Linked DNA regions of Oryctolagus cuniculus. The protein of the gene in region 3 purifies or fractionates together with the protein of the main gene of each other region. This does not show direct contact. Links are inferred from orthologs where the notes say so. Each region holds a gene or a part of one and is shown on either strand. Other genes may lie near its edges.

Region 1 (8,189 bases), on a different chromosome or scaffold from region 3:
AAGAAGCCTAAGCTAGAGATGAACAAACAGAACCTGGAGTGCTACACGTGATACCTATGCAACAAAGAAATGAGGAGAAAGCTAACAATGAGGAAAAACCACACAATCAATGTGAGACTGAAGGTGGACTACAGAGCAGGCGGCATAACGAGGCAAGAGAGGGAAACATGGTAATGTGGTTCCCACAACAGGCTTGTGGTAATATGGACATCTGAGCATACAGTCGTGAGCCATTTCACAGGAGCCACAACAAGTGGACAGCTGAGAGGCTACCTGCTCCTTCAAGCCCTCTTCAAAGGTCTACTCACTGTGATCTGACCCTGGGTAAAAATTACACACCCACATGTGCACAAGCACACACACGCACACATAAAGTTTGGGGGAATCTGAGGGGCAAACAAAATCATGGAAACTTTCATTCCACTCACAAAGACAAAAGGAACTGGACAAAGAAAAAAGGGAGATGAAACAGCAGATACTTCCATCTCATATTTATACCTTAATTCAAGGTGCTTACGTATAAAGGAAGAAAAAAACACACACCAAAAAACAATAAACTCAGTTTGAAACAGTAGAGGATTCTGGAAAAATTAAGAAGGTGGAAAATGTAGAAATATTTCACCTATTAAAAGTCAACTATTCAACAATTCTCAATCATGTGTCACACAGTCAAGAACTCGGAACAATATGAAAAAAGACAAAAACCCAAATTCAGGTAGCCAAACTCATGTCCTAACCCCTCATCATTCTGTCTCTTCCACTCTTTTACATAACCCTAACATCTTGATTCCTCAGAGTATGACAGAACCAATGCAGTAGAAGCAAAGGAGGAGCCCGTCAAGGCAGAACAAACAGTAACAAGGAAAGATCAAAAACTGCAAATAGCTGCTAGATGAATCTAAAACAACAGCTCACGACATCTCCCCAGACATTAATATCTGCCGCACAGTGCAATAAATTGTGTCCCATGTGCTTTGTTCAGTAAGGAAAAATACATTTTTAGCTATCTACTTTTTAAAACCATCAAAAGCCTTAACATAAAAGTGAAACAAAAAGGGATATACTTGCTTATCGCTAGAAACAGTGCCATACAGAAGATCCCACCTCCCACCACCGCCAGGTAAGTGCAGTACTGGAGGGCGAGTCCAGAGGCAGGGGCGCTCATTCAGAAAGTGAGCTGTTCTGACCTTCAGAGGTACTTACACATTCATTACCAACTAAAAGACTCTTAGGCAAGTCACTGAAACATACACAATTTCTGATACACACACACACACACCCCCCCACAGAGCATAAAGAATCTTTAGCACTAGCCATAACAAACGGAAAAAGATCATGGATTACTTGGAATGTTCACCAACTATATACTAATAGCCTTGTACTCTGCACAAAAGAAATTCGGATGTGAAAAACACAAGGGATGAAATTAAAGTGGTGAACAGAGCAATGCCACTGAAGAAAAAGAAACCCGACTGTCAGACGACAAACTTGTGCTGAGGTTTGAGAGCAACTGAGAGTTGATAAGGACTTGAGAAGCTGTTGGATTTACATACACTCAATCTCAACTTGTTCTTGTTTTTCCTGTTGTGCAAGGCGAGCTGCAACTTCTTCAGGTGGGCGTTCCCTTACAGAAGATGAGGATGCTTCCTCTTGCAGCAAAAGTAAATAAGAGTAAATCAAATTTCAGCACACAATTTTCACAGCTCACACCATCGTTCACACTTGTCAGTTACATCAATGCAGAGCATTTTTCTGGCGAGAATTCTAAAACTGCATCACTCTTAATGATTCCAAAATGCATAAGGGATCAACTCTTAATCTTCTTGGTTTCAAAGAGTTATTAGGACTTTTAACAAATTTCTTGAACCAGTCTAAAAACTTAAGAGCAGTAGAAATGTATACTTACATCATGTCTAAGAGTTGCCTAGGCATTAAGTAATTCTCATGAGCCCTTTATCTATAAAACAGTAAATATAAATAATTAAACTACCTGAAGTTACAGGTGTGGGTTTTCCTCCAGTAATTTCAGGACGATCAATTTTTACTGGTTCTTCATGCTGAACTGCAGGGGCTGGGACTGATGGCGTATCACCTGCTGCAGAAATAATTTGAGCTGCCTCTGTAGGTGCTATAAATATATGTTACTCGTGGCATTTATATTTTTTTGGATTAATAGAGCAAACACGTAATAATCGACTGCTAGAACTGCCCACATTACATCTGACTCCTTAAAAACACAAAGGCATGTAATGCCATACATCTGAATAATATACAAACAGGGGCACCATGCACTGCAAACACAAACTCACACAAATTGAATGATAGTTGGAAAAGCACTAAGACAAAGAAGTCTTGTCAACATTCATCTGCATTTTAACTATCATTACACTCAGGCAAGACTTCCAGTAACAGTACTAATCCTTACCATGTAAGGAAGTATGGGGCCGGCACTGTGGGAAAAGCCGCCGCTTGTAGTGCCACCAGCATCCCATATAGGCCTGGGGTTTGAGTCCCAGCTGCTCCACTTCCCATCCAGCTCTCTGCTATGGCCTGGGAAAGTGGTAGAAGATGGCCCAAGTCCTTGGGCCCCTGCACCCGTGGGAGACCCAGAAGAAGCTCCTGGCTCCCGGCTTCGGATCAGCGCAGCTCCAATTGTTGCAGCCAACTGGGGAGTGAACCAGCAGATGAGAAGACCTCTCTTTCTCTCTCTCTCTCTCTGCCTCTTCTCTCTGTGTAACTGACTTTCAAATAAATAAATAAATCTTTTTTTTTTTTTTTTTTTTTTTTTGACAGGCAGAGTGGACAGTGAGAGAGAGAGACAGAGAGAAAGGTCTTCCTTTGCCGTTGGTTCACCCTCCAATGGCCGCTGCGGCCGGCGCACTGCACTGATCCGATGGCAGGAGCCAGGAGCCAGGTGCTTTTCCTGGTCTCCCATGGGGTGCAGGGCCCAAGCACCTGGGCCATCCTCCACTGCACTCCCTGGCCACAGCAGAGAGTTGGCCTGGAAGAGGGGCAACCGGGACAGAATCCGGCGCCCCAACCGGGACTAGAACCTGGTGTGCCGGCGCCGCTAGGCGGAGGATTAGCTAGTGAGCCGCGGCGCCGGCCATAAATAAATCTTTAAAAAAAAAAAAACATGTAGGAAGTAGACATCAGATTTCTGTAACATGGAAAGAGAATAATGAAGGAAAAGAGTCTGTAATAAAGAAGGGTCACAAAAGAAAGCAAAATTTACCAAAGAATAATTTCTTTTTAAAATGTGTCACAAGTAATTGTTCTTTTTATTAAAGATTTATTTATTTGAAAGTCAGAGTTACACAGACAGAGGAGAGCCACTGGTTTACTCCCCAGATGGCCGCAACGGCCGGAGCTGCACTGATCCGAAGCCAGGAGCCAGGAGCCTCTTCCGGGTCTCCCTTGTGGGTGCAGGGGCCCAAGCAGTTGGGCCATCTTCTACGGCTTTCCCAGGCCACAGCAGAGAGCTGGATCGGAAGTGGAGCAGCCGGGACTCGAACCGGCGCCCATATGGTATGCCAGCGCTTCAGGCCAGGGCGTTAACCCACTGAGCCACAGCACTGGCCCGGACCAAAGAATAATTTCAATTACTCTGAAGAATAGTAGATACTGAAAGAAGACATCTGATCAGGAACAAGATGACACTCAAATACAAGAAGAAAAGTTCACAGTGATGGCAGTAAATTAGGAGCAGAAGTCATTTAATAGAAACACTTCATAGAGAGTTTTAAAAATCAAGGGCTTGCAACTTTAATGACAAGTTTTGATGGAAAAGAAAAAGAAGTAATTCTAGGGACGGAATGGGAGGAGGAACCAATGGATGCAGTTTCCTTTTTTAAATTGAAGGTCTCAGTTAAAAACTCATTAACTAGCTTCCCTGCTTCTGCCCTCAGTCCCTTCTTGGTTCACAACAGCCAGAGTGATCTTACAAAAATTCAAGTCAAGTATTAGCCTCCTGGCTTAGCACCCTCCAACACCTCTTCACACCACTCAGAAATGAAATCTCTTAGCACTGCTTCAAGTACTGACTGCCACAACAGGCCTTCTGCTCCCTCTCTGGTAGGATTTGCTGCTGTGCGTCCCACACTCACTCTACTCCAGCGTTATCTGCTTCTCACTTGAATAAGCCTCTTTCCACTAGCTTCTCTGCCTGGGATGCCTCCCCACCAGCTTTTTACATGACTTACTCCCTTCTCTCTTTCTAGCCTTTCCTCAAGTAACACTTTCCAAGTGAGGCTTTTCTCACCCACTCCATTTAAAACTGCAATACTCCCCTTCTCATACTGACATTTTACTTGATCTCTTTCCCTTAATCCCACCAAGAAATATTAGCAGAGGTTTTTTGTTTCTAAAATGATTTTGTTGATTACTATACCCAATGGTGCCTAGAAGACTGCACATAACACTAAGTGAACCATCTGCCAACAAACATCTGATTGAATCAAGGACAAGTTTCACTATGGAGAAAGCCAAGGAGACTGAATTCATGTTGAACATGTTAGAGTTAGGCAAGTTGTAAATTAGGGTGGGTTTACTGGGAAACCCAAAGATAAAATATATCTGCAGGAACTACAAAAAGACACTTTGATTACTTAAAGAACTGCTGAAGAGGTAGATAAAAGAGGTGGGGGGTGGGGGAGAATAAATCTTAAAACCCAAAGAGGCGAAAAGTCTAGGAGTCAGAGGGAAAAAAAGATAAATATGTTTCAGGCCAGACAACCTATACTGTTTCCTCACTCAGTTCTTCATAATAAAGCTCAATGCTATGTTCAACTCTGAAACTGAGCACAAGAATGACTTGTGAGAGCTGGGGACCAGAAGAGTCCTTCCCCGGGGGCCTTCTCTTGACAAATACATCAAAACAATTCATTTCCCCATAATTTTTAAAGAATGGTTTTAGATAGAAGTACCTGTTGTTGAAGCTGGAGTATCTCCTTTGTGTTTCTGAAGTTGTGAGGCGGGCTGTTTAGATTCTTTCATTACCTCTGATACACTGGAGATTTTTAGTGGACCAGACTGAATCTTGAGGGGAAAAAAAAAAAATTTACATATAATACTGTTTCTAAAAGACAGCACACAACAATTTATAATATTTCAAAGGTCAAGTCTTTCAGGCTTTTAATATGAAATTATGAGTGCTTTACAACAAAAGCATTTTATTAATCACAGTAAGAAAAGTCATCATTACTAGAAAATTTGCAGTTCAAAAATTCTATTCCAAATCACTAATGCATATTTTAGTACTAACAAAAGGTTCTTTTAGGACAAACAATAAAGTATACATATGCCCTTCCCCTTAAAGATTCTTTTACAAATACAACAAGCAGGTGTTTCTATTTACTTTCTAAATCAAATTACAGTGTCAGAAACAAAGTTTACTACAGAATCTGAGTAAAAATGAAAATCAGTTTTTGTTTCTTTAATCTCCAGGATTCATGCAATTACACATCAATTTGTGAGTAATGCTTGCTTTTCTCTTTTCCAGTTACTACCTGCCTTAGATTTAAGGTACTATCCATAAAAGACTTCCAGAGATGTGCCAGAGAAAGTTAAGGAGTAACAGAAATATTTTATTTACCATCTGTGATGTCTCACATTTTGTCAGAACCTGGCAGCATGTCTCAGATATCCCTAAGATGACTACTTACCCACAGGAAACTACAAGAAATATATCCCTTTTATTTTTAATAAAACATTATCATTCCTAAATTAGGAAACACAGGCTCACTGAAACAAGCAAAGCAATACTTGCATACATCAGTGGTTTTACATGGTCTCTTCATTGCTCCTTTCCCTTCCAGCTAGCTCAGGAAGCCCCGGCCTGAAACCTCTCCCTCCACCCCTGTGCATTGCGGGCCTTGCTGTCCTGCACCTTTGGGGCGCATGGCCCTCAGGCCACCCACCCCATGCTTCCTGGCCCTCCATGCTCTTCCACATGGCTGGCTCCTGGTACTTGGTATGAACCCAGATTTCCCTCTCTCTTTTAGATAGGGCCCTCACTCTCCTATACATTTCTCTCACTGAATAAAAAGCTTAAAACTTAAAAAAAAAAAAAAAAAAAAAAAAAAAAAAAAAAAAAAAAGAGACTATCTCAGAATTTAGTCAACCATTCAACATTCCAGTTGTTTATTTTGTCTCACAAACACTGAATCAATGAACATCCAAATAAATAAAAAGTGCTGTTGTATGTTATCTGCAAGATAATTTCTTGGAAAAGGAACTGCTGGATCAAGGTGCTATATTTTTGATATTAACAGATCAATTTCACATACAGTTCTACCAATTCACATTCAAAATAAACGTGTATGAATAAAATCTATTTCTAAAATCTATTTCCAGTAGTTGTGCTATTCCTCTAATTTCTATTCCTGTTGTCAAGAACTGATTTGATTAAAGCAACATAATAGGTAGAAAGCAAATGTTTTCTGACCCTTTCCCATCCTTTTTCCAAATTTTCTTGGCTAGTCTTGTACATCATGAATTCTGCCATATGAACTTTAAAATCATGAGGTCTGGTACCTCACCCTCTAGAAAATGTCATTAGAATTCTTTACCTATTTCTTTGTATGTTTATGTACACATACCGTAAAAACATATTTATGAGACACATAAGAGAAATAACATCTTTCTGACATTAAGTTCCATCTATGAATATAACATTAGTATCCATTCATACAGGTCTTATTCTATGTCTATCAAAAAAGTTTTAATGTCTACATAGTAAGTATTGAGAAAACACTTACTACACAAATAATCATACAGGTAATAAAGCAGATACTCTGAAATAAAATGCACAGTTTTATTTTATGAAAGCAATAAACTGCTGGCACTACGACACAGCGGGTAAAGCTGCCACCTGCAGTGCCGGCATCCCATATGGGCGCCGGTTCCAGTCCCGGCTGCTCTTCTTCCAATCCAGCTCTCTGCTGTGGCCTGGGTTAGCAGTGGAGGATGGCCCAAGTCCTTGGGCCCCTGCACCCACGTGGGAGACCTAGAGGAAGCTCCTGGCTCCTGGCTTCAGATAGGCACAGCTCCGGCCGGCCATTGCAGCCAATTGGGGAATGAACCAGCGGATGGAAGACCTCTCTCTCTGCCTCTCCTCTCTCTAACTCTGACTTTCAAATAAATAAATAAATCTTTAAAAAAGAAAAGAAGCTAAAGCCAACAGGGAAATTAAAGAAAAAAAACTTGAAAGTCTCACTTTCTAGTTATCTTGTGCAGGGGTTGAAATTTGACTCAAAGTGGAAAATATATCAATGTTTTTTTAGGCCTTCACATTTAGATATGGATAACTATTCCAATTTGATTTTTCAGGTAATGAAGAAAGCTGCTAGTAATTTTAACCCCTGACTAAAGAAAATAATTTCATTTTGGCACAAATACTTATTGCCTTGAAAAACAGCACTATCACAGCCTATGTTGTAGAATAACCTGTATCCCTTTCCAACTATACAAATTCTTAAATAAGTATAAATTGGAATTCAATTAAAGATAGTTGATTATATTGCAATCAGATGGCATTCACAAACTTAACTGGATCATATACAAATAATATCTATTAGTAAGAGTTTTCTTATGCTAATAGAAAAATGTAATTTAGCTACCTAGTCTAAAAATGGTGAATATTATTAATATTGTATAATAGAACTGGGAAGACTATACTCTTTTGAAGAGATTAAGGATTTTCACAATTTTCATCAGATTTTACTATTTTGGTCAAATTTCTAGGTATTTAATTTGTAAAAGTTTGCTGTGTACTGGCCTACAGAAACTAGGGTATTGATTTTAAACTTTTGAAGCCAAGTGATCAAGTACATTTGTAATAAAAGTCAATGGATCGAAAAAAAGAAAGAAAAGGATGGCTGAAGTGTGGGGTAGGCAGGCAACCACGGAACACTTGATTTTCTAAATATCATCTTTGTTACAAAATTGGTCCTACATCATTCTACCTACTGGAGAATTGAAGCTCATCCAGTTTTGAATGAATGGATTAGCCATGTCTAGCCTCATCGCATGAAGAATTGCCCAATATCAAAAACCCAAAATTCATACTCTTTAATAAATTGTTACAAGAAGCTATGTTTAAATGAAGAAATAGTTGAGTTTTAAAAATGTTTAATTCTGGCCGGCACCGCGGCTCACTAGGCTAATCCTCCGCCTTGCGGCACCAGCAC
Region 2 (8,189 bases), on a different chromosome or scaffold from region 3:
CTTATGGGACAGGAAACAGGTCCTGTTTCGGAGATGTGGCTAGACCTCGGATCACCATCTGTGCTGATGGGATGTTGCCAACATCCTGGAGCCTGTTCCTCCAGACAAGTGCAGAATGGGGAGGGCTGTACCTTCTTCCTCTCCCTAAAATCCTGCCTGCCTGTGCTCACATATGCAACATCCAGCCCCCCAACTGCTTGGTCCCAAGTTTTTAAATGATTTTTAAGAACAGCAGCAATCAACACCCCATGCCCCCTTGTAGTGTGGACTCATCTTTAAACAGAACAAGTGCCAGCTATACTACTGGGATGTCCTTCAGTGCAAATGATATGAAAAGTGTGAGACAAACCCATCAGGACTACAGGCAGGGGCAGGGGTGCCTGGTGAGGAGAAAGGTTTTCAGAGAGGGCACAGCCAGCCAGGGGTGGGGGGCGCTCGCGCTTACCTCTTGAGATCCTCTTTCATTCCTGAGGACTGCTGGCCACCACTGGCCTCCGACCTCAGTGGTTTGGATTCTGAGAAGGAAAAGAAGAAAAGGCCCATCAGCAGCACCCAGGATCCCACAAAGCCATGATGTTCACACCTCCTGGATGAGCATGGTCTTGGGAGACTGGCCAAGAGAAGGACAGAGGAGTCCCCAGATGAATATGCCCCCTGGACAGACCAATGCCCCCGCGGGCAGCTGAGGAACACAGCCTTGATTCAACCAGTCTGGAACACCTGACCTGATCACCCTCAGGCCCCTCCCATCCCGAAGGGTCTCCTGCATCAGGCCACTTACAGCCGTGTGCTGGTGGCAGGCAGGGCCATGTGAGTCCGGTGCTCCAGATCCACCTCTCTTCACTCAACAATTATTTGGACTCCAGCTCATCTCAACGCAGGCCTCAGTGGCTGAGAGCCCATGTTTGCTCAGGGGACACCTCCCAGGCTAGTTTTTGGCTTGTTACCCTTAGAACTCCACTCTAGATTCCCAATCCTGAATGCAGCAAATGCCCATATTAAACCTAATGACATTTTAATCTGTTCTCACTTCTAGCATTACTGCACTCTTTAGATTATGATGCCTGGTCTACTTCCTGATCATCAGGAATTTGGGGATTTCTGAGCCAATCAAATTCATTCTCTTGGGACCAGCACTGTGACAGCCTCTGCCTGTGACGCCTGAATCCTATATGAGCACCAGTTCTAGTCCAGCTGCTCCTCTTCTAATCCAGCTCCCTGCTATGGCCCAGGAAAGCAGTGGAAGATGGCCTAAAGATTTGGGCTCCTATACCTGCGTGGGAGACCTAGAAGAAGCTCCTGTCTCTTGGCTTCAGATCGGTCCAGCTCTGGCCATTGCGGCCATTTGGGAAGTGAACCAGCATATGGAAGACCTTTCTGTCTCTTCTTCTCTCTGTCTGTAACTCGACCTCTCAAATAAATAAATCTTTTTTTTTTTTTTTTTAATTTTCGACTCTCTTTACGCCCTGGTGACAGTGAAGTCTTTGTTTCTACCTCCCTCCCCTCAGGCTCAGTCCTTCCAAAAGCACCTGCCAGCCGCAGCTCAGTGCTTTCCCGCGGCCTTGCCTGATGTCCGGCACTTCCACCGCAGGCGTCCGGAGCAGTACTGGTACAACGTGGGAGCCAGCTGTGTGAGAGAGCACGTGGGCATCTGCTCTTCCAGTCCCACAGCTGTCAAGAAACCCTTCAGGGAGGCTCCTCCAAAAGCAGTCAGCCTGTGACTGGCATCTTCAGCCCACCTCTCACCTGAGCACAGCACAGGCGGCTCAGGCACATGCCAGTTCTCAAGGTGGACTGAAAACCCGGCAGACAGTTCCTGCAGTTTTGTCTCTGCATACTCCCCACTGGATTTATTTACTTACAGCAGATGTAGTGAGCTGCACGTTATCATCTCCGTTTGTTCTTGGTAGAGAATTAGGCATGAAGCCCACTGCCTGCCTCCATGTATGAACCTGCCCACTCTCCTGGTCCCCTTAACGCTCATTATGTAACATGCACGGCTCCAGTTATTAGTGAAGCAGACAGCTTTGTCATGTTTATGGCCATCTGAGCACATTTTCTACTGAGCTGTCCTTCTTAAGGATCTTTAAGATTCTTTGTATATTAAGATTACTAGCACTTTGTCAAATGTTATATTTTCCCTAGTTTATCATTCATTCATTTTTTTCTGTTGTTTCTAATCTCACTCTTCCTACCTTTCTTCTTCGTTTAAGGTTTTTTCACTTGATGAGGTGCTCAGAAAATCTCTTATTATACTTTCACGGCTTCAGTTCTCAGATTTAAGTCTCTTAATTCCTCTAACATTTATTTGGAGGTATGGTGTGAGATAAGGATTTAAATTTAACTTCTTTTTCTAACCTTGTTCCATCACAAAAATAAAAGCAAAAACTAGTTTTACAAGTTAAAAATATCTTAAAATCAGTCAACTTCCAGACGGTGCACTTAGGCTGACTCTCCCCCAGCACTCAAACTCAAAGCTCACTCCCATCCCGTAAACTGCAAAGTCTCTGGTGAGAACTAAGACCGAATGACAAATGAACCACTATTCTTGCTTTGTATAATGCTGAGACTTAACAAAACCAAGGCAAATGCTTATTTTATCTTCCAAAGCTGAAACTGAGGTGTAACCTAGTTTGGCAATTTTCACTTTTCCCATCATTTTCTCCCTCTCAGCAGGCAATCCAGTTTATTAGAATACCCTGGGTCAAGTTATACCCCTCCTCAAACCCTCATCAGTTGGCTAGAGAGGGGTGATGATGAAGCACCCATGGTAAAGTTCTGTCACTTGTAGATCTCCAGACCCAGCTACTGATACGCTTCAAGGCGCACGGGGAGCCCTGCTGCAGGCAGCACCGGGACGGCAGTCAGAGCACCTGGCTCCTGCTCCCTGGCTCGAGGATGAAGCCAGAGCTCTCTGGCTACTGTGTGGAGGTTTCCATGGCCTGGCCCCTAAATAGCACCCCCATGTCTCTCCTTCCCTTAAACTTTACATTCAGAGCAGACCCCTGCACTGGCCTCTGGGCCCCTCCCCCTACTGTTCCCTACCTGAAATGCCCTTCTACCACATTCTATCTTTCAAAATCCTCCCTGAAGTAATGAGCCATTGCCTCCTGTGTGCTACCACCAACCCTGGGCAGCCTTGCACCATGCTACACTAACATAACCACTGGGGTACACATCTGGCCCCTGAGCCAAAGCTGTGTGTGCCACAGACAGGATACCAGCCTGCCTGTCATTATGTCTTAGCATGGAGGCACAGGACCTGGTCCATGAACAGCATTCAAGAAGTGCTAAGTGGACAGGATATAGCTGCTGCCCTCTAACCCTAACAGGGAAGATGAGGAGAGAAGACAGCTCCGCTGGGAGGCAATGCACGAGAACACTCCAGTGCACGGTTATCCACTGTGGCACAGACTTTATCCTCTAGTGGATGGCTACTCCAGACAAATGACATGGTTTTAAACCAAGTTACATGCATAGACAGATCCAGATCCCCATAGAGGGTGCTGGCTGAGCAGAAAAGCAGCAGCTCCAAGGACATTTTTGTTTCGTAGTATCTGTTTTCGTAGCTTATAGCCTCTTTTCTTAAAACGGACTTTGCTTCTTTATGTTTGCTACAAGTAGTTATTTGAGGAAAAGAACAAATTTCTTCATTTGTGATGACATAACAGGGTAGAGATTAAGTCAGCTGGAGCCTGGCTTGGGTGCCAGCTCCACAGGGGGCCAGGGAAGAGGACCCCTCCCGGAGGCCGCGAAAGGACCCCTTGACCTGTGGTTACATGAGAGTTACCGAGGTTGGCACCAAAGTCTTGAGCAAAATTCCTCCTTATTTGGCCCAATTAAAGTAAATCCCTACAGTCCTTTGACTTGAAGCCTGGCTGGATGTCCGGCTGAGGCTCTGTAGTGGTTACATTTCTTTTAAGGATCCTTAGCAGCAACTTCTTACCTGAGTTGTCAAACCCAATCCTTCTGCTCTGTTTTCACAGGTGGAGAGACTGAAACAGAGTGAGGGAAAACAGCCTGGCCCAGGTCCCGAGAGCTCTGACTGAACAGTGCTGCCTTCACTGCCCCAGACAGCGTCTGCCACGCATGGAGAGCCACACGCCCCGCAAGAGTGTTGCTGACATCACCCTGGCACGCACGTGAGCCACACGGGCCGCTCACTGTACTCTGACAAGCAGGTGACTGGTTGTACCCTCCACCCTCTTCCTCCACTCTCCCCGGGGTGCGACCCGCCCTACCTTTCTGTGGGGTGTTTGCACTGCCTCCTGGAGACCCCAACGCAGACGGCGGAGGGGCTTGCTGCTGGCCTGCTGCAGGCTGGCTGGAATCCTTCATGCGGTTAACCACATTTTCAGACAGCTGCAGGAAGGATTGAGGAATGGGAAGAGGGGGACAGGGACAAGTTACACCACAGAAACCTCCAGAAAGGCAGAGTCCCCTGCGTTCACGCCCCAGATTTCCTGAACATACTGCTTCCTCCAGACCCACTCAGAAACCTCTCCTGGTACCCAGAGCCCATCAGGCCAAAGCCAACCCTGTCAGGAATGCCGAGCCTTCCGCAGTACGTCCCGGACTGGCTCCACAGCTTCACCTCCTACCACTCCCAGACGCACGTCCTGCACTCTGCAAAGCTTGAGTTCTCATTTTCTCACCTCCTCGGGGGCCACATATGCTGTTCCCTCGGAACCACCACCAGGCCCCACTTCCCACCCTGGCACGTCAGCACCTGCCTACATCTGACTCTCCCATTTAGGGCACCCGAGCGTTCCCTTCTGCAGAGACCTTTCTCCAACAGCACCCACGTGAAGCATCGCTTTCTCCTCCCTAAACCCCCGTTATGACGTGCGTGCCTCTCAAGGCGGTGCTGCCCCTCCTGCCCTCCCTCCTGCTGGCAGCCCGCGAGGCTCCGTGGGCTAGGGCTGCCCTCACTCATCTCCGTAAACCCTCCGAATCCACACGCGGAGCAGATCATCAGGACGCTGCTAGTCTCATTGCTCCCTATGCCTTTAATGAAGACTGGATCACCAAAACTTCCATTCATTCGAGGGAAGTGAAATAGGCATCAGGGGGTCATTGAACAGTTTACTGAGATGAAACAGCAAGCTGGGGATACATCCGGAATAAAAACCCTTAAGAGTTCACTTCAGTAAATATTTATTAATTGCCTAATATGTGTAAGGCATCATAAAGCACAGTTGAGAGAAGACATTAAATATGACTTCAAGACAAAAGACATGATCAGCAATTCCAGTTCCAGATATCTAACTGAGAAGAGTACTCCCCTGTGTGCACAGAGGCATGTATAAGAAGCTCACTGTGGCACTGGGGGGGGGGGGCAGAATTGGAAACATGAGAGCATCTAACAACAGGAAATTGGCTAAAGAAATTATGGTGGTGGGGCGGGCATCGTGGCGTCGGGCATCGTGGCGTAACAGGTTAAGCAACTGCCTACAATACTGGCATCCCATATGGGCACCGGTTCAAGTCTCAGGTACTCTACTTCTGATCCAACTCTTGCTAATGTGCCTGGGAAAGCAGCAGAAGATGGCCCAAGTGCTTAGGCCCCTGCACCCACATGGGAGACTGAGAGGAAGCTCCTGGCTCCCAGCTGCAGTCTGGCCCAGCCCTGGCCATTGTGGCTATTTGGGGAATGAACCAGAGGGTGGAAAATCTCTCATTTCTCTAACTCTGCCTTTCAAATATATCTTTTAAAATAAAAGAAATTATGGTGTATATTGCCTGAACTATTTAGGAACCATCATGGAAGGGTGTATGCAACACAACTGCTGACTGTTTGAACAGTCAGAAAATCCTTTCTATATCTCAATTTTTGTAAAAAGATATGCACAAGTATAAAATCACAAACTCAGAAATATAGCTAAATGAACAATGTCTTGGCAACCTTGCCTAAAGTCAAATGATCATAGATATAGAAGTTTACTTCTGGGACGGAGCTCCTCCTGGTTGCTGGCTTCAGCTTGCCGAGCCCCAGCTGTTTGTGGCCATCTGGGGAGTGACTCAGTAGATGGAAAGTAACTTCTCTCCCTCTTGCTCTCATTCTGTCACTCAGTCTTTCAATCAGATTCATAAATCTTTTTTAAAATGTACATTTGAGTTTTTACTATTTGCCCAAACACACATACACGGATCTGCACCCAGGGGGAATATACGGGGCTACTACCAACGTGCTCAGGGGGTTACACCCTGCAAGCAGGGGCAGGAGCAAGACTTTTACTTTTGGCACTCCTGTGACTTAATTTTTTTAACATAAGTGTTTAAAGATTATGACAGTAAGAGTAAAGTCTGTCTAGTATGTAAGATATACACCAATCAGGCCGGCGCTGCAGCTCAATAGGCTAATCCTCCGCCTTGCAGCGCCGGTACCCCAGGTTCTAGTCCCGGTCGGAGCGCTGGATTCTGTCCTGGTTGCCCCTCTTCCAGGCCAGCTCTCTGCTGTGACCCGGGAGTGCAGTAGAGGATGGCCCAAGTCCTTGGGTCCTGCACCCGCATGGGAGACCAGAAGCACCTGGTTCCTGGCTTCGGATCAGCGTGATGCGCCAGCTGCAGCGCGCCGGCCGCGGCAGCCATTGGAGGGTGAACCAATGGCAAAAGGAAGACCTTTCTCTCTGTCTCTCTCTCTCTCTCACTGTCCACTCTGCCTGTCAAAGAAAAAAAAAAAAAGATATACCAATCAAATTCCTAATTAGTCACAGAACAAGTCAATGGAAGAGAATACAGAGCACAGAAGTAAACCCATAATCTACACTCAACTGACTTCCAACGAGGGTGCTAAGGTGACTCAACTGGGGAACAGAGCCTCTGCAATAAATGGCGATGGGACAAGTGACATCCCCATGCAAAACAATGAAGTGGGACCTCTACCTCACACCACGTACAAAAACTAACTCAAAATCGATCAGACACCTAAATGTAAGAGCTAAAACAATAAAACTCTCAGAAGAAAATATAAGGGCAAATCTTTACAGCCTTAGCTTTGGCAACCGACTGTTAGATATGACACTAGAAGTATTGCAACCAAAAGAAAAAACCAGATATATCGACCTCAAAATTTACAAGTTTTGTGTATCAAAGTAACTTACAAGACAACCCACAGAATGGGAAAAACAGCTGCAAACCATACATCTAATAAGTAATCTACATCTAGAACATAAAAAGAACTCCCACAACTCAATAATAAAAACAATCCAATTTAAATTTCACCAAAGAAGATACATCAATAGCCAATAAAAGCACATGAAAAGAAACTCAACATAATTAGTCATTAGAGAAATGCCACCCTGAGATACCACTTGACACCCAGCATGTGGAGAAGTCAGAACTCTGTTACACTGTCATGTAAAATAGTACAGCAGCTGGGGAAAAGTCTGGAAGTTCCTTAAAAAGTCATACATGGAATCACCGTTCCACATAGCAATTCCACTCTGAGGAATATACAAAAGAGAAATGACAACATATGTCCACGTGAAAATTTGTACATGAATGTTCTTAACAGCATTATCCATAATAGCCAAGGAATGGAAACAGTCCAAAATGTCTTCAGCTAATAAATGGATTAGTAAAATAAAATATATCTGTACAATGGAATATTAATTAGTCATAAAAGGTAATTAAGTATAGACACATGCTACAACATGAATAAACCTTAAAAAACAACATGCTAAGTGAAAGAGTCAGGCAAAAAAGGCCACATACTACATGACAGATTATACATGTAATGACACAAGTTCACTTCAGCAAGTTCATGGAAAAGGAAATTAAAAAGATAAGCTTATTTTGTGGCAAAAAAGGTTTTGAGTATCACGTGTAGCTTTTCCATAATATACATTTTTCCTTTAACTTTTTGAAACCTTCTTGTATACGCGGATTCAGTAACTTTTGCATTAAAATAAACTTATCTTGGGACTAGTGCTGTGGCACAAGAAGTTAAGCCACAACTTGGAATAGCAGCATCCCATATCATAATGTAAGTTGAGTCCCAGCTGCTCCCAGATTTGCTCCCAGATTCCTGTCCCTGGGAAGGCAGTGAAAGATGATCTCTTGGTCACCATGTGAGAGACCAGAGGATGGAGTTCCTAGCTCCTGGCTTCACCCTGACCCAGCTCCAGCTACTGTGGTCATTCGGGGAGTGAACCAGCAGATGGAAGATGTCTGTTCTCTCACTCACT
Region 3 (8,189 bases):
TTACAAGGATTACTGTCCAGAAAGTCTTTCTCTCAAAATTCTACTCCCTAAAATAACATTTTCCTGAATCCATTTATTCAAATGACATTGCATATATAAAAAAAATCTGCTTCATGAAGATGACACTGTTGACCCACCACAAGTAAAACCATTTGAGTTGTTTTCCTACTAGTGGACATGAACTTTATTTACTTCATCTCTATTCATTTCCTGAATCCCCCTTGTGGTCAATGGCACACATCAATGGAATGGTTGGATAGGATTAGGGATAGCCTTGAAAAGGAAACATTTATTTAGCTTAATGATGCTCAAACTCATGATCTGGACATGATGTATATTTTAAAAATATACTACTTTAGTAAACTTAACACCAAAGAAAAATAGATATATTAAGTACTATATTGTATTTAATATAGTTTTCTTTTAAAACCCTGATGCTACAGATCTATATTTATTGACATAAAAGATCACAACGTATCATTCAATGGAAAAAAATCCAGGTTACCTCAGCAGAACTAATATGGTCCATTTAAGAAAATGTTCTACAGGGACACTGAGATGACTATTCACCAAAGAATTTAAGAGCAGCAATTTCTGGGCGGTGGAATTTCAATCTTTATTTCTTTTTCTATAGTTTTCTACATTATATGACTTGTTTTACAATAAGCACATGTAATTTTTATAAAACAAAACTACTTCAAGTAAGAGAAAATTATATTTTTACCAATTTTATATTATGTTAAGATTTTGTAAAGCTGTATCAACAAAAAGCAGGAAATTTTAATGCAGAAAACTTGAGGGGTTTGTTAACTCAACCTAAACTGACCTGGTCCAGAGTCTTGTTACCCCATCCAATAGCTTTCATCTTGCGTTTGATTTCCCACTGTTTCTGATAGGCCAAGATATGATTCAGAGGCCAAGGGTAAGGAGATCCATACCTAGCATGGGTGATCTAAAGCAAAAAGATTTTGTTAATAACATGATCCTTCCTAATAATAATGCAGTTTTTACAAACTGAATTCTAAAATAAACATTTTCAGAAAACAGAGTGCTCTCAAAAAAAATGTAGTTTACAACCCAAACAATTAAAATTTAAACCATTCCCTTTAAAAATATATAAACTTTTATGTACTTTGCAACCAGTTATATCAAACAATGACACATAGCTTCCTTAAAATGTATGTGCAAGCAAAATTAAGGTAAGTGAAAAACTATATCACTAATGGTATAAACCACAATGTTTCATTTATGAGCAGGGACTTGCAATTCTGAGCAAAAGTGTTTTCTCATTAAATTTTAATTAAGATAAATGCTACAGAACCACTCACCTCCCCTACTGTAGCTTCATCACACCACTGAAGATACAACTAGGAACAAAAGAACAGTCACTAAAACTTTAGAATACCAAAAAGAACAAGAATAAATAAAGTTATTTCTTACCCCACTAAATTTTTATAAGTCAACTTTGTAAGTCACATAGTAAAGAAGTTTTTTCCTTAGTTAATATTCTGTAGAGTTATTAAATTTAATGATGGTACTATATAAAAATATTTCTTATTCACACAATCCATCTCTACATATCATTAAAGTATTTTATAGACAATATTCAGGTAAATGTCATAAGGCCAAAGTAAAATAATAAGTTGGTAAAAATCACCACTTTTCTTTCAAACAGAAAAACTATAACTAAATATATGAGATAACATATTCAAAGATAATGATCAAATAATCTGGATAACCACCTCAGTCCTAGAACCATTTAATTGTTTTCCATTTCTCTATAACTTTTAAAATAACCCATGAGAAAAACTGTATTTTATGAGATAGTATAGATTATAAAAGGTTATAGATTCTTTCAACCTCTATATCATGTATTGTACCTCTGCAGTCAACAGCATATTGTTGACTAATTCCATGTAAGCTTTCATTTCTGCTTTTTGGACTTCATCCAGCCCATCACTAAGAGAATGACCCTAAAGGGAATTTTTTAAAAATGTAAGAGAATATTATATTAAAGATACAAAAACTTTCAGTCACCTTACTAACAAGTAACATAACATGAACATATCCAATGGGTTAATTTCCAAAATGCCACATAAAAGAAAATTAATTTATATAAAGGTAGGCCTAATATTCTATCACTATCAAATATTAGTGAGTAGTTTTTATTTGTCTTTGTACAATGTATCTTCCAACAAACAAAATCACATCAACTATTTCACAAAAGAAAACAGAATGGTCAGTAAAACTGTGATTTTTTTTTTAAAGAGATTAATCTTAGTAATAAAAAGAATGTTGGAAGATTGACATGTGCTGCTTATAAAGTGGTCAAAGATGAAAAAATGTTAGTAAAAGAGAAGAAAATAGCTATTAATTTCAAAATTCTAATACACTTTAGTAATAAGTAGATACATGAAATGGTAAAAGTTTTAGTTGAAGCTGGCAATTTGTTTGTAAGATTGTTAAAATGCACACGCCATGACATCCAAGATCACTTTTAGGAAGTTATCCTAAGGAGATGGACAAGTGTACAAAGGTATATATACACAAGGAAATTTATCTTAGCATGCTATTATAGCAAAAAAAATTGGCCACAATCTAAACACCTAGCAGTAAAAACTTACAACAAATAAAATAACAATGCTTCAAACACAACAGAATACTACACAATTCAAAAAGATGATATATTCCTATATATTAATAGCCATTAACATGAAAGAATTTCTAAACATATCAGCAATTTTAAAAGGCAGGTTACAAAATAACACAATATTATGATGTTTTTCTGAATGTGAAAAAAAAGTCTAGAAGGTTATTCCTCAAAATGTTAATGTAAATGTTAATACTCCTTCATAACTATAAAGTAAATTAATGATGGAATCATCAAATGAATAAATTAATAAATTCAACTTCTAAACCTATGTTATATCTCCCTTCTCAAAGATCAACCAGATAATTTAACAATCTAAACAGTTTCATTTATGACCAGAATTTTCATAAGCGTAAGTTAGAAAGCTACCATTTTGTAAAGACCAAACTACCTTTTTTGCCATTGACCTACATTATGAAAAAACACCAACTTATATTTTCCACTGTTTTGTATTGGCATTTTATATAACTATGTTAAAAATCAATGTAAATGTTAAGACATACTAAAGAATGATGGATGACTTATTCAAGAGTAAATGTGATCAAACACATTTAATATCTTTATTACCTTGGCTTTAACGAACTGGACTATTGGACCAAGTTCTGACACTACTTGATTTCCCACATGAATAAAAGGTACTTTACCTGTTAAGGGAAAAAAATGTACAAAAATATTTTCAATAAATTGAAGTTTGTGTTAAGAAACTAACACAAAACTCAGAAATGTTTATTAATAGAAAGATTTCATAAAACTATAACCTTTAGAAATTAGAGACAGATGTGTGTTAAAATCTAAATTTAAAAAACTGATAACTAACTAATTTTAAAACAAAAGAAAAAAGAACAGTCGATTCATTTATAGAATTCAAGAATATATAATAATTCCCTTTTCAGAGCTAACACTAAGAAGTCATAGCAATAAACACAGATTATCCAAATTACATGAACCAAGCTAGGACACTGGTTTATGATCATTGATAAGTTTGAAAGAAATTTAACTGGTCTTTCTCATCAGAGTACAGTACAATGGATCCATCTATATTGTAAATTGTATCCAAGAAACCTTCTTTCTACATTTTCTAATTTTCTATCTCTGATGTCCCTGAGCTCAACATTTTAAGCACAGAATGCTTCAAAACAAATGCTCTTGACTCAAAATATTAAGAATAAAAAAATTAACAATCTTTGGTGGTATACTAGGTTATAAGTTATAACACAAAGTACGCTTCCAATACATGAGGGAAAAAGGAACAAGCAGTATGATTATAAAAACTGGCTTCTTTAAGTAATGCCACACTAAAAAGGAATATTTCATTTTAATAAATACGAGTGCTTGATGCAATTATCAGAGAAGAAGAAAACAAAAACAATCTCCAAAACACAAGGTCTACTCCAAATGCTAAAGGTTAAAACTTCCTGTCAGTCCTAGTTCAAATAGAGTTCACACTATCAGCAGGCTTCTTCCTGCTCCATTTCAATAGATTCTCTCCTCTCTGGCACAGTCAGCCTCCGGGTAATGGATGAGGTGCACAGCACCAACAAAAGCTTCATCTGCAACCATAGGATAACATGCATTACACAGGAAAGACCACCCTTTTGGAACACAACAACTCAACAGATGTATTTAGAAGACTTTTCCTTGTTAGCAATTCTGCATTCCTTCCTACTACTGCTTTATAGATCTTAGAAGAAAGAAAATAATTTAACTGAGTAAGCAGTGGGCCATATTGTTTTCCGTTTGATTTAAAGTCTTTGTAACTACTATACTACTAGAGTTAGTACAGGTCCCATGAAGTTAAAAAAAATGAGTGCCTGCAATTCAAGGGTATTAGGACGTATGACAATGTTTGAACACAGTGTATTTCTCCTTTTCTGTAACCAGTTTCAGGTTCTTGTGAAAAATATTCAATTATTTTTAAAAAGATTTTGAAGCACAGAAGCACTATAAGTAACCAACTAAGTACTCATATATAAAGAGATATATAAAAAATCAAGGCTATAAATTAGAAGTGAATAATGGTTTCTGTCACTAGCCTGATTCAAAATGGAGCCAATATCACGGCCTTAATACTGCAGGTATCAGGCCAAAGCAGAGGCAGTTATTCTCTGGCACCAATCAGAGGTCATTAAAAACAAACAAGTATTTTCCTTTTAGTCAAAATTATCATTTAGAACTTTTCTTTCCAAAGAAAATGAGAGTAAGTTTGTATCTTAGAGAATGTTCAAAATGGAAAGAACCTTAGTTGTCATCTGATCCAACAACGTCAATTTACAAACAGATGAAGTCATTGAGACGCAGGGAAAAGAAAAAGAATTTACCAAGGAAATAGTATGTGTCAAAGAGAAGGATTAAAGCTCTATCTCTTAGCCAAGTGGTCTTCTGACTGTTCCAAGCTTTCTACTTTAAAAATCTACCACAAAACATAAGACAAGCAAATAAAATTTTAAAAATGTCCCTGATCATCCCAAATAATAATAAAAGGCATACTAATTCAAAAAATGATGACATTTAAGTATCTTAGTAGAAAGAGATATTTTCATATAGCTATCAAAGACTCCTTTGAATGAATGCTGTTTATGTGTGTGTAAGACTTAAGTTTATTTTTCATACTATAAAAAGAAGATAGGTATCTACCAGGTGACACTTAGTAATTAAAAAACAGGAAGATAAACTACATGATTTCTCATTTGCCAAAGATTTTAATGTTAGCATTAGACTACCAACCTTTTTGTATGTATACATACAAAATCTTTTTGAATACATAGAAGGAAAAAGATAGTTATAACACAATATAATTTATTTCACCAGAATTCAGTAAGATTTTTAAACCTATGTATAAAATCAAAACATAAATAAGTCATGAATGGCCTCCAAGAAACTAAAATATATTTATGTTTATAGGTATAGATATTATAAGAGGAGAGACTGAGAAATGATTTGTGGGTACTAGATTATAGCTAAAGAGAAGTTCCGGGATTCTGTTGCACAACAGAGTTAATACACTATAAATTTTTCTATTAAAAATTTAGAAGATGGGATTTGGGGTGTTCTCAATACTAAAAAAATCTTAAAAGATTTGATGAGATAAATACATTTACACTAATTAGATATTACACAGTATATACCTGTACTGAAACATCACAAATAACCCCAAAAATAAGTATATTTTTAATATTTTTTAAAGATTTATTTATTTAGACAGCAGAGTGATGGAGAGAGAAAGGGACAGAGAGAGAGAGAGAGATCTTTCATCCGCTGGTTCACTCTCCAAATGGCTGAAATGGCCAAGGTTGGGCCAGGCTGAAATCAGGAGCCCAAAACTCCATCAGGCCTCCCACGTGGGTAGAGGCCCAAGGATTTCAGCCATCTTCCTCTGCTTTCCCAGGCACATTAGCAGGGCTCTGCATGGGATGTTGTGCAGCCAGCACTCCAAAGCATTCTGAGATGCGATGCCTGTGCCACAATGCTGGTCTCAAGTACAACTTTTTTAAAGTAAGTTATTTATTTATTTATTTGAAAAGCAGAGTGACAGATAAAGAGGGAAAGATAGATACACAGATTGATCAGTTGATCCTCCATCAGCAGTTCACTCTTCATATGGCTGCAAAAGCCAAGAGCCTGGAGCTCCATTTGGTCTCCCATGTCAGTGGCAGGGACCAAAGGCTTGGGCCATCTTCCACTACTTTCTCAAGAGGCACTTCAGCAGGGAGCTGGATTGGAAGCAGAGCGCAGCGGCTCAATAGGCTAATCCTACGCCTTCGGTGCTGGCACCCCGGGGTTCTAGTCCCAGTTGGGGCGCCTATTTCTGTCCCGGTCACTCCTCTTCCAGTCCAGCTCTCTGCTGTGGCCAGGGAAGGCAGTGGAGGATGGCCCAAGTGCTTGGGCCCTGCACCCGCATGGGAGAGCAGGAGAAGCACCTGGCTCCTGGCTTCGGATCAGCACGGTGCGCCAGATGCAGCGCGCCAGCTGCAGTGGCCATTGGGGGGTGAACCAATGGAAAAGGAAGACCTTTCTCTCTGTCTCCCTCTCTCACTGTCCACTCTGCCTGTCAAAAAAAAAAAAAAAAAAAAAAAGGAAGCAGAGTACAGATACCTGCACCACACTGCTGGCCCCTTCTCTGCTTCTTAAAAAATGTACTGATTTATTTGAAAGGCAGAATGATAGAGGGGAGAGACAGAAATATGTTTCTTTTATACATCTGTTAAAATTTTTTAAAAAGTACAAAATTTTAAAAAATTCCTTTATGGAACTGTCTTCTAAGTATAAAAGCATAACTCTAATAAAATATATGTATCAGTCTGTATGGGGTGGGTATCTCCATACATTTGACAATTATTACCTAACCTCCAAAAATTCAAGGTGAAAAAATGTTTTACACAAGTCATTCCTAAGTTATCACTGTATCACAATGAAAAGATAAAATATAATCCTAAAAAACCAATGTTGGCCGGCGCCGCGGCTCACTAGGCTAATCCTCCGCCTTGCGGCACCGGCACACCGGGTTCTAGTCCCGGTCGGGGCGCCAGATTCTGTCCCGGTTGCCCCTCTTCCAGGCCAGCTCTCTGCTGTGGCCCGGGAGTGCAGTGGAGGATGGCCCAAGTGCTTGGGCCCTGCACCCGCATGGGAGACCAGGAGAAGTACCTGGCTCCTGGCTTCAGATCAGCGTGGTGCGCCAGCTGCAGCGCGCCAGCCGCGTTGGCCACTGGAGGGTGAACCAAAGGCAAAGGAAGACCTTTCTCTCTGTCTCTCTCTTACTGTCCACTCTGCCTGTCAAAAAAAATAAAAAATAAAAAAATAAAAAAATAAATTTAATTCACTCAACTATTTATTCATGAAAGAATGATTGTATGTGTTATTATTGCTCAAGCAAAAATATAACTATAATAATCTATGTCATTTATATTCAGGATTTTATTATTTATCAGTTTTGTGGTACTACTTTGTTAATATTAAAAATTATTCCAATATTTAAGATAATACTTCACTAAAATACAACATACAGAAAGACAATATTAACTAGAAAAAAGAGCAGAGATGCTGAAATTCTAATAAGTATCCTAAAACTTGTCAAAATTAACTTAAGAATAAGAAATCAAAAACATTGTTTGATGATTCTAAAATGCAATGACAATTATTCCATAATCACTCTTTTTTTTTACCTGTATTATAGGAGAATATAATTTAGAGAAGTGTTTTGAATAATGAATGGATTCATAAATAATAAAATTTGTTTTCTGAAAAGGGAAGTCCAATCCAAGACTGGGTAACCTGAGATCATGTACTTCCTTAATATTTAGCATATAAAAACAATTCCCATACATACCAGCAACCATCTGTGACCAGATTTGAGATAAGCAGACATACCAACCACAAGCCTGTGTCAAATTTACAACTGATACTTTACAAAACCATGGAGAAATCCTCAAAAGGTAAACATTTTTTTTTTAAGATTTATTTATTGATTTTAAAGGCAGAGTTACAGAGGAAGAGGCAGAGAGAGTGAGGAAGTATTCCATCTACTTGTTCACTCCCCAAATGG

What was found. Proteins that work in one complex are often made in the same cells at the same time.
Region 1: the proteins of MTX2 (region 3) and IMMT purify together in Homo sapiens (co-immunoprecipitation; 5 studies listed by BioGRID and IntAct, counting the BioPlex papers as one, with this or other methods). This does not show direct contact. The link is inferred for Oryctolagus cuniculus from reciprocal best matches to the Homo sapiens genes MTX2 and IMMT.
Region 2: the proteins of MTX2 (region 3) and CHCHD6 purify together in Homo sapiens (co-immunoprecipitation; 3 studies listed by BioGRID and IntAct, counting the BioPlex papers as one, with this or other methods). This does not show direct contact. The link is inferred for Oryctolagus cuniculus from reciprocal best matches to the Homo sapiens genes MTX2 and CHCHD6.

What each region holds. Positions count from the first base shown.
Region 1 is NC_091433.1:116,581,040-116,589,228, reverse strand, and holds part of IMMT (MICOS complex subunit MIC60), read right to left. Parts: intron 5,038-8,189; coding exon 4,926-5,037; intron 2,129-4,925; coding exon 1,991-2,128; intron 1,650-1,990; coding exon 1,554-1,649; coding exon of another isoform or gene 1,546-1,553; intron 1-1,545. UniProt on the Homo sapiens protein: Component of the MICOS complex, a large protein complex of the mitochondrial inner membrane that plays crucial roles in the maintenance of crista junctions, inner membrane architecture, and formation of contact sites to the outer membrane.
Region 2 is NC_091441.1:109,713,058-109,721,246, reverse strand, and holds part of CHCHD6 (MICOS complex subunit MIC25), read right to left. Parts: intron 4,363-8,189; coding exon 4,242-4,362; intron 516-4,241; coding exon 446-515; intron 1-445. UniProt on the Homo sapiens protein: Component of the MICOS complex, a large protein complex of the mitochondrial inner membrane that plays crucial roles in the maintenance of crista junctions, inner membrane architecture, and formation of contact sites to the outer membrane.
Region 3 is NC_091434.1:64,896,697-64,904,885, forward strand, and holds part of MTX2 (metaxin-2), read right to left. Parts: intron 3,295-8,189; coding exon 3,218-3,294; intron 1,974-3,217; coding exon 1,881-1,973; intron 1,368-1,880; coding exon 1,329-1,367; intron 953-1,328; coding exon 827-952; intron 1-826. UniProt on the Homo sapiens protein: Involved in transport of proteins into the mitochondrion.